Linked DNA regions of Kluyveromyces lactis. The protein of the gene in region 1 interacts with the protein of each later gene in a pairwise test. Links are inferred from orthologs where the notes say so. Each region holds a gene or a part of one and is shown in the gene's direction. Other genes may lie near its edges.

Region 1 (5,229 bases):
TGACTATCTCTCTTTTCTTCACATTCACTGAGTGGGACGCTCCCAAACTGGATAACAACCACACTGTTGCAATGTTCTGATCTTGGGCTATTCTGACTCCCACCTCTGCCATTATGTGAACGAGTTTCCTAGCAACAATAACCTGTTTAGAACTCTGTGTATTGACATACACATCGATATAGTTTTACTCATAAATATTAATGAGAAGTAACAACTAACGAACTTTAAGAAATAAGGAGCACTTTTTATTTTATTATCAATTTAGCCGCCGAGCGTCCTCTGAATCGTTTCAAGATGCAACGCGTATAAAACGATTCAGAGGTCACGTGATCAATATGGATAGCATTCCATTTTCTTTATTCTCTCGACTTCTGTTTCTGCATACAATAATGTCTAATAGCAGTAATCAAGAACAATAAAATAAGGAAAATGTAAAAGAACAGAGGCAAATACACGGCTATTCCTCGATATCTGTTAAGATAATTCTCTCAGTTTGTACAGTAACCAACCGCATATCTCAATAGCAAACCAACAATAATCATGGAAAGCGGCAAAGACGCTGAAAATCAGCCTGTATTGTTCATGGGAGCACAAACTGAAAATTTAGATTACATGTATGAACTAGTGCATGAACTTTCCGCCCAATTGAAAACGAACGAAAATATGAGAGATGCTGTTTTGCAGGATGTGGACCTTCTATCCAGGCAGTTGAACCATGGCAATGTGGACGTATCACCGGACATCAATGTCACAAAGCAATTTATATACAAAAGGTTGAAAGACGAGGAACTCTCAATTCAGGATGAAGAAGAAGAAGATGGGAATGAAGAGGACAACATGTTACATCACGTGACCAAACAAAACGAACAGTTGAAAGAAATCTTAAAGAACCAACAAAGGCGCAATGCTGTAGCACTTCAAGCTCTACGACACCACGACGAAGGATTGGAAATATGCGTGACAATGTTACGAAATGAAATCTACAGTTACCACGTGACCGTACTATCACGGTCCCGAGATCTTATAGAAAATCAGCTATACAAAGCGGAAGATTCCCAATTCAATCAATACCTAGAGTCTGTGACGGACTTACAGCAGCTTCTAGACCTTTGTAAACTTTACAGAACACTTCTAAGAGCGCACCCGTAAATCAAGTAAAGCAGTAGAAAGAAAGAAAAAAAAAAAAAAACTAAGAAATGCTAAGGCAGGACAAGAAAAGAATATGAAACTAGGCAAAGGGTAGGGGATGGGATATGAGGAAAGTTAATGAGGAACTATAATGACACCATTAACAAGATATACACAGAGTGTTATGGGGCAAGTGGGAAAATGTCAATCGGGAAAGAGCTAGAACGAGCCTAATCAAAAGAAATTTGTGGGTTTCGGAATATTGAATGAGATTGTATGAGCCCTAGCTATTCTCGTTACTTTTTTACTGGGTATGCAGATGATATGAAGCGGTACCATCTATCTATCTGTAGTAATAACGTACCTCAAAGCTAGATTGTAATTTATTCTATCACACTCATACTTTTTTCCAAAGTTTTTTTCATGGCAAAAATTGGTTATTGGCCAACGGAAAATGCCAAGAGGTCAAGTCAGTACTTCGGAAGTAACATCATATACAGAAATCCATGCAGTGAAGAAGCCTTATGCGCTTATTCTCAGGAGAAATGGGAAAGAAAGGAAATGAAAATCACATCAATTTAGATTGTAACATATACACCCTATACTACGCTTTCAGATAGGATTTAATTTTCCTGCCATACTTTTCCTCAACTAGAACTCTTACACCTGATTTCATAACCAAGACTGTATTTGACGCAGGATGGGTATATCTCTTCCTCTCTCCATTCCCTTTAATAATCAGTACCATACCATTGCTTTTTTTTTCGTCTTCCGCTTCAGTAATGGAAACACTGTTGAAGCCAAATTAATCCAATCCGTTATACCTTTCCAATTTCAACTATCCTTTCTAAGTGGAAACTTATACCATTTTTTGTGTTTTTTTGCCTAGACATCTATTCCATTCTTTACCCAATTTTTTCCCTTCATAGTTTTTCCCACTACGGATTTCTTGGTACTGTCAGTTTACTGGCCGTATGGGTATTATTTGGGCAAAGTCTAAAATATTGAACCTAAAACGTATTATCTAGTCCACACATAGCCCTGTACTTTGATAGCCTGTTATTTGAGTAACATCTCGATTTGTAGCGGTGTAGGAATTTTGCTAGCTGAAAATGCTAAAAACCACCAATTGCAATGCTGCTTGCGGTTCTATCCTCGACATTTACAGTTTTGTATGTGGAATTGGAATTGACAAAAAAAAAACACCGAAAAAGCCAAGACCTCAAGAGCAGGGGAAGGGTGCATGTACCAAGGTGTAATATTGGAAGATGATAAAGTTTTGGGTGCATAAATCATATTTTTCAGGGAAGGTTTCTGTCACCTTCATTCGATATTGAATGGTTCAGAATATATAAGTATGCGAAACTGGACCCCATGTTGATGTTTTTGTTTGTCTCCTCAGGTGTTAATATTCCATCGCATGCGATGTGGAAGGTTATGTTATGAACATATTTTTGATGCTTTTTGATATGTGTTGTAATTTGATTTTATCAGAATACAACTATAACATCCGTAAATTCTGAACAAACTACAACCAATCAGTCATGGCTGCTAACAAGGTTTTCAACGTTGCTGTGTTCTTCGTTGTGTTCAGAGAATGTTTAGAAGCAGCGGTGATTGTTTCCGTGTTGCTTTCTTTCTTGAAACAATCCATCGGTTCTAATGATATGGCCACTTATAAAAGGTTGAGAATGCATGTCTGGATCGGTGTTGTTGCTGGTTTCATCATTTGTATGGCCATTGGTGGTGGTTTCATTGGTGCTTACTACCGTTACGAAAATGATATTTTCGGTTCTGCTGAAGATTTATGGGAAGGTGTCTTCTGTATCATCGCTACCTTAATGATTTCTGTCATGGGTATTGCTATGTTAAGAGTCAACAAGATGCAAGCCAAATGGAGAGTTAAGATTGCCAAGGCCATGCTTGAAGTTCCAAAGGACAGACGTAAGAAATGGAGTCTTAAATACTGGGCTACCAGATATTCTATGTTTTTGTTGCCATTTATCACTGTTTTGAGAGAAGGTTTGGAAGCCGTCGTGTTCGTTGCTGGTGCCGGTATTACCACCAAGGATTCCAAGGCCACTGCGTACCCATTGCCTGTCGTCATTGGGTTAATTGCTGGTATCATCGTAGGTACTTTGTTGTACTACGGTACTTCTAAGTCATCTCTACAAATCTTCTTGGTCATTTCTACTTGTGTTCTTTACTTGATTGCTTCCGGGTTGTTCTCCAGAGGTGTGTGGTACTTCGATAACTATTACTTCAACAAGAAGACCGGTGGTGACGCATCCGAATCCGGTGATGGTAACGGGTCCTATAACATCTTAAGAACCGTGTACCACGTTAACTGTTGTAACCCGGAATTGGACAACGGTTGGGATATCTTCAACTCGTTGTTGGGCTGGCAAAACACTGGTTATTTGTCATCCATCCTTGCTTACAACTTGTACTGGTTGGTCTTAATGATTGTTATCGGACTAATGATGTACGAAGAAAGAAATGGCCATTTACCATTCTGTAAGAATCTAAAACTGAGACAATTGAAGCCAAGCTACTATTTAAAACGTAAGCAGAACGAAGAGTTGACCGCTGCTGAACAAGAGGAATTGTTCAAACAAGTCAACAATTTGGGCGTCGACGAAGAAGGTAACGTCGTCGTTAACAAAGGTGACACTACCAAAGTCAACGTCGAACTCGTGAAATAAGTGGGTCACTACTAATTTTCACTAGTTCTTTTATCAGAAGTATGTACACCTGTAAACAATCAAATATAATGTAAAGTATCTTTTGGTTTATCGATTAGCAAGTTAACTGCATAGTTGCCAGTTGGGTAAAACTCTATATTCATCTGGGAAATGGAAGCAACAAATATTTATCAGTTGGGAACCCTGATGACTACTGAACGAAAACCGGCTTAGACCACCTCCCCTCTCTCCTGAATCGTGTAACAATTCCTCTTACAATGGCGTGTGTACGTCTCCGCACCTTGCCCAACGCTGTTAGTACAGAGTATAATGATGTATGTGTCGTCCTACCCTTACCATCCGAATAAGACAGAAGAACGCAGCTTGACGAGGTGCCTCTCGAAGCATGTCGAAATGAAATTTCTTTTTCTAATTTCCGGTGCACATTGGCGGAGAAGACACTGCACAACACTTGAAATTCCTGTACGAATGGAAGAGTCTTGAAGGCTTTAAAATCATTACCCGCAAACAGCTGTTCACATACATATACGGACATATCAAACATTCTTATCAAACAGAATACATATATATATATATATATATATATATATATATAGATCTGCAATAATCGGAGCTGAAAGACTTATTTCCTACCCTGATTGAGCTCTACATCCCGCTATACCATTAAACATAGATAGCTTTCAGCGTTTCAAAACTGCTTTTTTCCACTTTCCTAATTAGACCTAAGATAATCAAGCTACTACATACCGAACTTCTTCTTTGTTGTCTTAATACCTTTTTTTCTTTTGGAAAAAATTATAGGAAAAAAAAAATTGAAAAGAGAAGTACTGTAAGTATTCCTCAATTGCCTTCGTTACTCATAAGGTTTAAGAATTAACGGCTGGTATACAGGAATAACTCGGTATCCATATTACTTGTGTTGTACCATTTGACGCTATTTTCTGAAAGAATCTGCTACGAATACTTCTCCTTCCCAACTTTACTCACTGTACTTGTATTTGATTTGATGTGTACTGAAATTTTACAGAGACATTACTTACTAGGTTTAAAAATTTCAACAGAACTTTTAAAGGTCAAATTTTGAGAGATAAAAAAAAGATACTATATATCAGTGTTTTTGACTAGTATTTGAGGAGATTGATAGAGAAACTGCTGTCTCTGGCTTATTCTGTTCACGTTCTCAGTATCCAACCCCCAATTATAAGGCTGAATATCTTCCTTTTTTTCTTTCTCTTCTCTTTCTGGTAGGATTTTTAGTCAGACAACGGCTTAATCAACTTTAAGGAAAGAAAAAGAAAACACACATATTGGAGTGACCTAATCTAATTCATTTGTCTTAATATTCACACTCCCTAATTGTCATTTTCATTGTCCCTTTGCTGGCTTCTTACTGCTG
Region 2 (4,788 bases), on another chromosome or scaffold:
TAATCACGTGATTTGAATTCTTTAATCCTACTATTGGTTCAGGTCACAAGAATACATCACAGGACTAGACATGCCAGCATCATGAATAAGATATCCATTCATTTACTAGATAACCGGTGGGGCATGATTATGTGTATATATATATATATATATATATATATATACTATGTTTGAAGGGTTCTACAACACATCCTCCATTTCCACGTCTTCCAAGTCTTCCTCCTCTTGCTCGTTCTCCTGTTGTTGTTGTTGATCAAATTGGTCTTGAATCTGCTGCTGTTGTTCTGGATCAGCGTGTTGTGCCAATTCACCAAGCGTAGCAGCTCTTTCAGCTTCCTTCAACTTTTTATATTCCGATTTTAAAGTATATTTCAAGGCATACGGACCCTTTTTCACAAGCATAGCAACTTGATCTAGCGATTCCTTTAAATATGCTTCTGGTTGTCTTGTTCTCTCCTTCAAACCTTTCAAGGACCAATAATCGTATTCATCAAACAACTTGAACAATAGATCCAAAAGTTCCTTCTTTGGCAAACGGATAGCCCTTGCGTTGTTCTTCTTTTCCTTTCCAACTTTTAAGAACTTGGAAGTGTCGGATCTCATCGACATACCGGCGTTACTCATAGTGACACCAGGAGTTTGGTCAAGCACCGTAACCGTTGGTTTGTGGATGTTTCTAACGATTTGTCTTCTATGTTCCACAATTGTATGGTAATTTGGATCGTCTATCGAGGGCATCACTTGACATTCGTGGTACACTTTCCCCGTCACTGCAGTTTTCTTCGGAATAGTCTTCACGTACGGGATGTATCTATCTCTACCGTCCCTATCCGTCATGACACGGTGCTGAAACCTTCTCTTGTTGTACTTACGCTTCATCTGCTGCTGTTTTTTCTTCATCTCTTCCTCTCTTTCTTGTTTCCTTATGTATGCCTGTCTTTGCAACTCGGGGTTCGACTCCAATTCCTTGGCAAACTGCTGATATTTCTTCAAATTTTGTTCAGTGAATACGTACTCGTTCGTGACTTCTTTCTTGGTCAACTCTAAGTCATATTTGTGCGGTATGTCCTTGTTGTCCTCATCCTCATTCAACAACAACTGGATCGAATGGTCCGCATTATTAATCCTAACTTTACCCAATTCTTGTCCATGCAATGCAGTACGGTTTCTCCAATTTTCAGCTAAGAACTTAGGCAGACGTACAAGCCAAATCTTCTTCCTGGCGTTGGATAGATCCAAGTCTAACGATTCCTCATAAACCTTTTTCTCATTGTTCTCAATATCGTTACCATCGAACGCCTCTTCACCGACTTCTTCCACCAAATCTTTACCACTGGATTCAGACATGATTAGATTTTTAACTATTGGCTTGGATATATGAGACCTAACAGGTACCTCTATCCGGATTCTCTGCTTGCTTTTGTCTTCCTTCCGCCTTCCTGTTGTGGCTTTAAGTTGTTAAAGTTGTTTCAATTATCAATTCGATAAATCTTTAAAACTGACAAAAACAGCTAGCCATCAACGATAAAATAAACAGAAACTAACCAAGTGGATTGGCACCTCTGCCTACGGTGTATTTACGTTCATCAAAGCAGGCGTCATGAGTCATGCAGTCGAGGAAAGGTACAACAGTCAACAGAAACCGTTGAACGAGAGCTGCAATGAGTATATACACGAGATACTTAAAGAATGGGAAACCCAAGAATCTGAATATACTGTCGTGCCTTTGAAACGGGTTAAGGTGGCATTGTTCCCACTTCTAGTGGCATTAAGGAAACAGGAGCTCGGTCAATTGCAATTATCCCAACTGGCAAGAGTATTAGATGCCATTGTAGATGAAGATTACGTGCGAGCAAAGCAAGAATACCTTACTTTAAGTATAGGTAAAGGGAAGTTTCCGATCGGGTTAACCAACGTTGGTATACACGAGAGGAAACAGCAGTTGCAAGGCAGCAAGGCACAAACACAAGAGAACATGGTTCTTGATGACTGGTGCGTCAACATCAAACGGCTTGTCAATTTCAAGCAATGGACATCTTCACAGCGAAGAACCGCATGATTTTAAATATAGAATTAATTTCAAACCACTCTGATGGCTACATGTTACATAACCTCGGAACTGGAACAGAAACAAAAAAAGGAAGCGGTAAAGGGCAATCAAGCGACGAGAAGATGGGTGGTGTAGTCACTAGTATGGCTGAGTCTAGTGCTCAGGACTATGGTATGGAAAAGTATGATGATTTCATGGGATCAAAGTTTCAACCGGTGAAGGATCCATTCTATTCGGAACTAAGTAATGGGAAAAGGGTTCGAAGGAAGTTGCCTGCATATTGCACGAAACAGGAAACCAAGACATGGAAACGGTTACAGAACCGAGCATGGTACGACGACCGATGCTTCCTCGGGTGTGGATGTATCTGGATTGATTGGGGCATCGGTTGGGCCACGGTACTTTCGTTGCTTCCTGTGATCGGACCGATCTTAATGTACTGGGTACACAGCTCTACGGTGGAATACGCAAGGAAACGGTACAATTTGCCCAACGATCTGTTGGTGAAGATGCATGCAAACATAGTGTTTGATCTATTAATAACGTTACCCCCGATAATTGGCACGTTTTTGACCTGGATGAACGCATGTTCTACTAGAAATGTCGCAATGGTGTACAATTACGTATGTAAGGATTCGTGGCAGAGGTATCTACAGCAGAACCCAACACAAAGTGCACCGGTTGGGTTCCAACCGATGCCAATGGCTGCGAACCCACAAGTCCCAGCCCAAGCAGTCCACCATCAGGTATAAAAACCTTTGTGCTTGGGACAATCCGTTTAACAGTGTGTATTTCTATATAAAAGAAAATGATAACGCATATGAAATTGAAGACAACTACAGGCAAACCTCATATAAGGTAAAGAGTTAAAGCCATTGCTCCCCGCTAAACCTCAAGCCATGGTTGAATTGTATGAAAATAGGGTATGGATCGATGGGTGTTTTGATTTCACACACCACGGTCATTCTGGAGCCATTCTTCAGGCAAGAAGAACGATTCCAAAAGATCAACGTGATGGATCACTTCTCATCTGCGGAGTTCACAACGACGCAGATATCGAACATCACAAGGGTGGTAAGCCTGTCATTCACGAACAAGAACGGTATTACCATACAGAGAGCAACAAATGGTGCGACCAAGTGGTGAAAGACGCACCTTACGTGACAGAACCCGAGGTTCTTGATTCGTACGGTTGTAAATACGTTGTTCATGGGGACGATATAACCACGGATGCAAACGGTGAAGATTGTTACCAGCAGATGAAGGACAACGGCCGTTTCAAAGTGGTGAAACGTACCGAGGGTGTAAGTACCACCGAGATCATTGATAGAATACTGAGGAATGTCCCCCAGACAAACCAGCAAAAAGCAAGTGTCGATCGTGAGTTGCTGACCATGTACAGTACAGATAAGTCAGGATACGAGCCCTGGAGTTGGGTATTTGGCCAAAATTTCGAGGATGTGATAGTAGAAGGAACTGGCAGTGTCTCTGATCAGAATTGGGTTGTAGTAGAGGAACCAGATGGGTTTGATCTGTTCAATGTGGGACATATCCAAGAGTTACAGAAATGGAAAGAAGCAGGCAAAAGAGTGTGCTGCAGCATGTATACCGACAAAGACGTGTTCATGACATTGGAGGAGAGGACTTTAAGCGTGCTTAGCTGCAACGTGGTGGACGGTGTGCTTCTTTATCCTGTGTCACGTGACACAACGACTGCCAAAACTATCACCACATCTCTCAAAGACAACATCATACAAAGAATTAATCACGATAGGGATCATTATATTGAAAGAAATATAAAAAAGGGCATTACGTATGAGAACTAGCATATATAGGAAGAACGAATGAACAAAAGGCAGCAGCAGGCAACTTCCAGAGTCGCCTTGTCTCATCAGTCGTAACAACCCAAAACCAGCTTCTCAAATCATCTAAAAACATGAAAAAAGTCTATCAATTACACGGCACCACCGAGTAAATGGAGACGAGAGTGATCATAACATAACTCTCTACCGTTTCTGAGAGTTAGAACCTCTGCGTTGTTTGTTGAAAGCAGGTTTAATCTCACCCATATCGATCAAATCTTCTATCTCGTCCCCTGCTTTACCCCAATTACCTTTACCATAACCGTCTTTCTTCACAGAGTTTGGGGAAACACCGTAGTGCCCATTATGAGTGAAATAGTGGGATTCAGCCTTAGCTTCGCGAACGGTCCATTTGTTAGTTCTAGCCATTTTTAAATTGTGTGTGTGGGTGTGTTTTTGCGTAAGTTTGTGTCTTGTATCTGTTTTTGTACCTTAGTACTTGTTGATTGATGTGTATATAGATCACAATTGAAATATAATTTAATATACAGGAATGAGTTATAGAGTACAGAGAGGAAAGGGACAATTGGTCGAGCAGTGTCTCCTATTTATACTGTTAATGCGGGGGTGTCGTTCTGGAAAAAGTGCCGCTGAGGCTGATTTATTATGGCTGGCTAACCCCTGAAGTTGTCATGGTATTTTCAGGGGGGCGGGGGAGACAATAGTAAACGAAATCATTGGGAGATCCACTGGAACATCCTGGGAAATTCTGAGAAAATTGAGAAAATTTTGCACAGACATTGCCGTAGTGAAACAGTGCCTTTTTGTCGTTTACAAGGGGGTCCCCTTGGGGTGTCGCCCCGGTTATCCGGGGGGGGCAACAGGGAGAGGCTTATGCTGTGTCACGTGACGTCACCGGTTGGAGTCTTTTGTTAC
Region 3 (5,786 bases), on another chromosome or scaffold:
CAAAAATGGTGGAAAAAAAGTGTTTGTATGAAAATTATCAAAAAAGAAAAAGAACGCTGGTAAATAGGAACATCATTACGATATAGAGTATAGAAAATAGAGTAATTACAGCAAGTTTGAGAGTTGCAGTTTCGACCTACAGTAGAAAACTGACCATTCCATGAAATTTCCCTGGGTGCAATAATGTATTTCTCATTCGTAATGAAATAAAAAAATAAATTGAAAAAGCGAAAATTGGCAAGTATCCTACGTTCAGTACTGGGCGTTCGGCCCAAGTGCAGCCATAGATAAACTTGGCATCGTTGATAGATTAGATATAGCACACTTCTATGTGTACCGATTACCTACTCAAGAAGAATGACAACGCAAAAGGCCCGGAATCGAGCATGATTTACTCGTTTGCCAAGATTCAAAACTGACAAATCTTGGTGCTCGCTCACAAAGGGCTTCTGGCACGTTCAGTGACATGGGGCCGTTACGGATACCCTTTCCTCATCCGCTTCTCACCCTAAAGGCTCTCCTCCACCTACGGAACAAGAACGGTGGAGAAGTGATCCGCTATTAGCATTGATGAAAAAAATCCAATTCTCAATATACTGCGCCTTATCTTGTAGTTATTTAGAAAAGCTAAAAACTGAAAAACTTTCTTGGCAATGTATGGAGACTATTCGGGGCCTTGATTTTTGGGCCTGGGCCCAAAAACCTTTCTCATTCGAGCCTGTATATTTTTTTCCGATTCCATTGAACTGAATAAGAAATTATAGAAGGAAGGAAAAAATAAAATGAAGAAAAAGAATGTAAACTGGCAGGAAAGAATTGGCTGAAACTTTATCGCTCGAAAACCCCGGCGGGGGTGGGTGTAGCAACTACCATTACAAAAAACCCTGGAAACTTATTATCAAGAAGTAGAGCACTTCCGTTTTTTTCTTTTTTTTCTTTTTCCCATTCAAACAGTTGGGCCCTGATGTTTACTCTCCCACCATCTCAATTTTTTCCCATTTCAATACAATCATAATTCCAATTCCAATTTCAACACTCACAGCTACCACTAGGCAAGCTACAGTTGACCTTTTTTTTTTTTTTTTCCTTCTTCATCTTTGTTTAATTCTCATAAAAGCGTAGTGAAACAAGTACATAAGAAAAAAAAATAGGAATGGCAGTTTCTTGGCTCAGAAAGGAAAGCAGGAAAGCGGACGTTCTGTTTGGTCGACTAACTCTTTCCATGTTTATCAGTTGTTTTTCCCCTTTAAGTCCTCGTAGTAAGTGTATTATTACCTTGCTCTTTCTTTACGCAGTTTTTACTTCCGCTAATTAGGTTATTATCTTGAATTGTACACCCCGAATTGTTTAATTTTTGACTTAGTATTGTGGCACTACCTAGGTATTTTGGTTCTAGTTTCCTCAAGATTTTTTTTTTTTAATTCCATATTACTATCTATTTGCAGGTGTGCTTTTCAATACCAGGCATAACCATTTGACAGTTTAGAGAGACTGGTTTAGTTCGGGAGGGAGGAAAAACACAAAGAAGTAGAGGCAGAGGGTATTGTAGTGTGCATGAGGGTGATATCTCGTTTCTTCATATTGCAGTAGGTTCGGCGCGGTCGGTAGTGGGCTTTTGTACAGAGGTTTGAGATGGATTTTTTTCTTTCTTTTATCACTGGTTGGTTCTATCGTGTGAGAATGTGTATATTAATGTATATATACAATGGTAATTTCAGTAAAATGTTCTCAATGTTGTCATTAGGCCTCTGCACGAGGTGTATATTGCTCAGTTGAGATTTTTGTTATCTGTCTTCAGGGTTCTTTCTTATTTGCAATATCTGCGTTAACCATCTCATCGCATATCTTTAAGTCTCATTGGTTTTCTTTAAGAACAAAAAGAAGAAAAAAGGAAGTATAAAGACATGAAGGTATCGACTCATCACTTCCTGCCATCGTTGCTAGTGGCTTTGTGGAGTTGGGCTACTGTTGCTCAAGCTGCCACTCATACCTTCAACTGGACCACTGGTTGGGGTAACTATAACGTCGATGGTAATTTCGAGAGACCAGTTATCACTTGTAATGGTGAATTTCCATGGCCTGACCTAAAGGTCAAGAGAGGTGACCGTATTCAAGTGTATTTGACAAATGGATTCGATGATAGAAACACATCCCTACATTTCCATGGTTTGTCCCAGAACGGAACTAACATGATGGATGGGCCAGAAATGATTACCCAGTGTCCTATTGCTCCTGGTGACACCATGTTGTACAATTTCACCATCGATGATAACGACGGTACTTACTGGTACCATTCCCACACTGGTGGTCAATACCAGGACGGTATGAAGGGTACTCTTGTTGTTGAGCCTGAGGATTCTTTGCCATTTGATTATGACGAAGAAGTCGTTGTGCAACTTGCCGAATGGTATTATGACAATGTCGATACCCTTGACCGCAAATTCATGAACGTTTACAACCCAACTGGTGCCGAACCAATTCCTCAGAATTTGATCATTAACAACACTAGAAACATGACCTGGAATGTCGAACCAGATACTACATATCTCTTGAGAATTGTCAATACTGGTGGATTCGTCTCACAATACTTTTGGATTGAGGACCATGATATGACTGTCGTTGAAGTTGATGGTGTTTACGTTGAAAAAAACACAACTTCTATGCTTTACATCACTGTGGCACAACGTTACTCCGTTTTGATTCACACTAAGAATGACACTTCTAAAAACTATGCTATCATGCAGAAGTTTGATGATACCATGTTAGACGTTATTCCTAACGATTTGATGTTGAACGCTACTTCTTACATGATGTACGACAAGGATGGAGAAAAGCCTGAACAAAGCTATGTAGACAGCATAGATGATTTCTTGGATGATTTCTATTTGACCCCATTGGATAAAGTCGAATTGTATGAAGACCCTGATTATACTATTACCGTTGATGTGGTCATGGATAACTTGAAAAATGGTGTCAATTACGCTTTCTTCAATAATTTGACTTTCACTGCTCCAAAGGTCCCAACATTGATGACTGCTTTGTCGGCTGGTAAAGATGCACTAAATCCATTGGTTTATGGTACCAACACAAATGCTTTCGTCTTGAAAAAGGATGAAATTATTGAAATTGTCTTGAATAACAACGATACTGGTAAGCATCCTTTCCATTTACACGGTCACATTTTCCAATTGGTTGACAGAGAACGTGGTTACGATGATGCAATTGGTGAAGGACCTCATCCATTCGATCCAGAAGACCACAATCCTTTCCCAGATTACCCAATGATGAGAGATACCGTTTACGTGAATCCACAATCCAGTATAGTCTTGCGTTTCAAAGCCGACAATCCAGGTGTTTGGTTCTTCCATTGTCACATTGAATGGCATTTGAAGCAAGGTCTTGCATTGTTGTTGATTGAAGCACCAGAAGAAATGCAAAACACTGAATCCCAACAATTGACTGATAACCACAAGCAAGTCTGCGAAAATGTCGGTCTTTCTTGGGAAGGTAACGCTGCAGGAAACACTAACGATTTCTTGGATCTAGTCGGTCAAAACGTTCAAGTGGCTAACATTCCAGATGGTTTCACTGCTAAGGGTATTGTTGCTATGACCTTTTCCTGTCTAGCAGGTGTTCTTGGTTTAATTTCCCTATCAACCTACGGTTTGATGGGTGTTAAGAAGTCAGAAGAAGAAATAATCAGAGACTTAGGTATGGATCCAGATGCCGTCGAAAAGGTCGACGTTTCTGATATCAACTCGGATGAAGATTCTTCCAGAACATCTAAAAACATTGAGTAAACCTCATGTCGTTTAATGAACTAATATTATCCTTCCAAACCCCCAATTCATTCGATCAGTGCCTATACTTTTCCTATAAATATAATAAACAAGGAAATTCCATAGATCTATCATTAATTCAGAACTTTGCCATTGAACTGCAGTTCAGCCTATATCTTTAGTAGATTATTTTGTAATGTATTTTTTATTTTACGTCTTTTTAGCCGTTTTAGTGTGCACTCACGTTGACAATAACTTGCCGTGTATGAAATTTCACATTACTGTTAAGACAAAACTGTAGTTCATTGATTAACCTGAAACGATTTATCTTCTATCCAATAAACTCTTTTTGGATATTTCAGTATAAAATTTCAGTATTGTCATACATGCTAACGGTGGGTTTGTCATTATTGGTTTATCTTGTTTTTTCCTTTACAAAACTATTGAAATTTCACTTTTTGATACTGCAAAAGTGTGTTGAAAACTTGGAAGACATCAACATTCACTGAAGGAATTTGTAAAGGTGACAAGTGGCTGGCCTTACCCTTAGCAAGTTACAGAAACTCGACAACGTACAGGATATAGTGATAATGTCCGCAGAAGCTCGTGTGCCACACGCAACTCGCAAGCCGCGCAAACAAGTGCGATACAAGTTTCAATTTACTAGAGATTTGAGGTTCCAAGACACAAATTATAAAACTGTAACATCCATGGAGTATTTAAGCACCAATTATGGCCAGAGGACAGCACGTATCATACACTCATTCATATCATGCATTCACAGAAAGATCAATCATGATGTTTCGAAGATTTCTGATAATGTAGTACTAAAATTGATCAGGCCAATGGATAAATTAAAACTATTTCTATTGCTAGTAACACTCTCACAACGAGGCGGCCCAGACTATTGGTTGGACAAACATGGTAAGCCGAATAGCTCGGATTATGAGGAAGAAGTGGAGCCAAAAAATATCAAGAAAGAACCAAAATTGTTCTGTACTTTGTTAGAAAATGTGATGAGAGAGAATATCAAGAAGAATTTTGATGAGACACTTTATGACGAAAACTACGTCTACAGTTCTATATGGGCTAATTTCATGGAAGGCTTGATTAATCATTATCTGGAAAGGGTTATCATACCGAAATCAGAGAGAAAAGTATGTCAACAGTTGTACAAACCTATGATGAAAATTATTTCTTTGTACAATGAATACAACGACTTGATAGAAAAGAGTGAGAATTCCGGCTTTATGCTCGATAGTAAATCGAGCTCAGATAATGATAATGTGGAAGTCAAATTAGCTAATGCTCAGAAGCTTCTTTGGAAGGCAAGACAAGATATTCCAAAAACCATAAGCAAAGAATTGACTTTATTATCGGAGATGTACTCTACTTTGAGTGTAGAGGAACAGGATTACCAATTGGATCAGTTTGTATGCTGTGCGGAAGAGTATATTGAGCTGGTTTATCTACCTAGTTTGATCGATGTGCTGTTCGCAAACTGCGGTTCAGTTGACTTTTGGAAAATAATGTTTGTTCTTGAACCGTTCTTTTACTATATAGAGGATTTGCCGGATGAGTCAAGTAGTCTTGATATCGAAGTCATTGATCCTGAGGATGGACTAGACAAAGAGCCTAGAAAGCCTGATCCTCGAGTAGCTACTTTGGAAAAAATCTGTGAAGTAGCGGCCAAGGAGAATTGGATATGAAAAGATATTTTTCTTCTACAGGTGAATAGGTTTATAGCATTTGTTATTGTATATTCATGAGTTCAAGCACTGAAGATTGTCTTTTATAGTTCGTTAAGTTTAAAGGGCTAGTTTACATCGTTCTCAACTTATTCTTAACTTATTCTTAACAGCTTTTTCATTTTGGTGACTAATGTCAATTTTGATTATTAAATGTTCAAACTGCACATAAAATATTAGCTATACAAAATTTATATAGAGTAAATACATATTCGTTCGTTACTTTTCAACTTTGTTTACTACTTTTGTGTAGAGGGAG

What was found. The genes of interacting proteins can lie anywhere in the genome.
Region 2: the proteins of FTR1 (region 1) and KLLA0_C18161g interact in a protein complementation assay, tested with the Saccharomyces cerevisiae proteins (2 studies listed by BioGRID). The link is inferred for Kluyveromyces lactis from reciprocal best matches to the Saccharomyces cerevisiae genes FTR1 and YLR326W.
Region 3: the proteins of FTR1 (region 1) and FET3 interact in binary tests that used the Saccharomyces cerevisiae proteins (3 or more experiments, as listed by UniProt). The link is inferred for Kluyveromyces lactis from reciprocal best matches to the Saccharomyces cerevisiae genes FTR1 and FET3.

What each region holds. Positions count from the first base shown.
Region 1 is NC_006037.1:264,245-269,473, forward strand, and holds FTR1 (high-affinity iron permease FTR1), read left to right. Parts: upstream 1-2,672; coding exon 2,673-3,833; downstream 3,834-5,229. Other genes in the region: REC8 (Rec8p), read right to left, coding at 1-112; FAR7 (Far7p), read left to right, coding at 541-1,149. UniProt on the Saccharomyces cerevisiae protein: Permease for high affinity iron uptake.
Region 2 is NC_006039.1:1,605,281-1,610,068, reverse strand, and holds KLLA0_C18161g (uncharacterized protein), read left to right. Parts: upstream 1-2,100; coding exon 2,101-2,802; downstream 2,803-4,788. Other genes in the region: transcription factor IIF subunit TFG2, read right to left, coding at 181-1,347; mRNA splicing protein PRP18, read left to right, coding at 1,601-2,059; ECT1 (ethanolamine-phosphate cytidylyltransferase), read left to right, coding at 2,950-3,876; KLLA0_C18117g (uncharacterized protein), read right to left, coding at 4,057-4,281.
Region 3 is NC_006042.1:2,441,644-2,447,429, reverse strand, and holds FET3 (ferroxidase FET3), read left to right. Parts: upstream 1-1,904; coding exon 1,905-3,800; downstream 3,801-5,786. Other genes in the region: AAN1 (Aan1p), read left to right, coding at 4,370-5,488; PSG1 (Psg1p), read right to left, coding at 5,754-5,786. UniProt on the Saccharomyces cerevisiae protein: Iron transport multicopper ferroxidase required for Fe(2+) ion high affinity uptake. Required to oxidize Fe(2+) to Fe(3+), which is then transported into the cell via the ferric iron permease FTR1. Essential component of copper-dependent iron transport.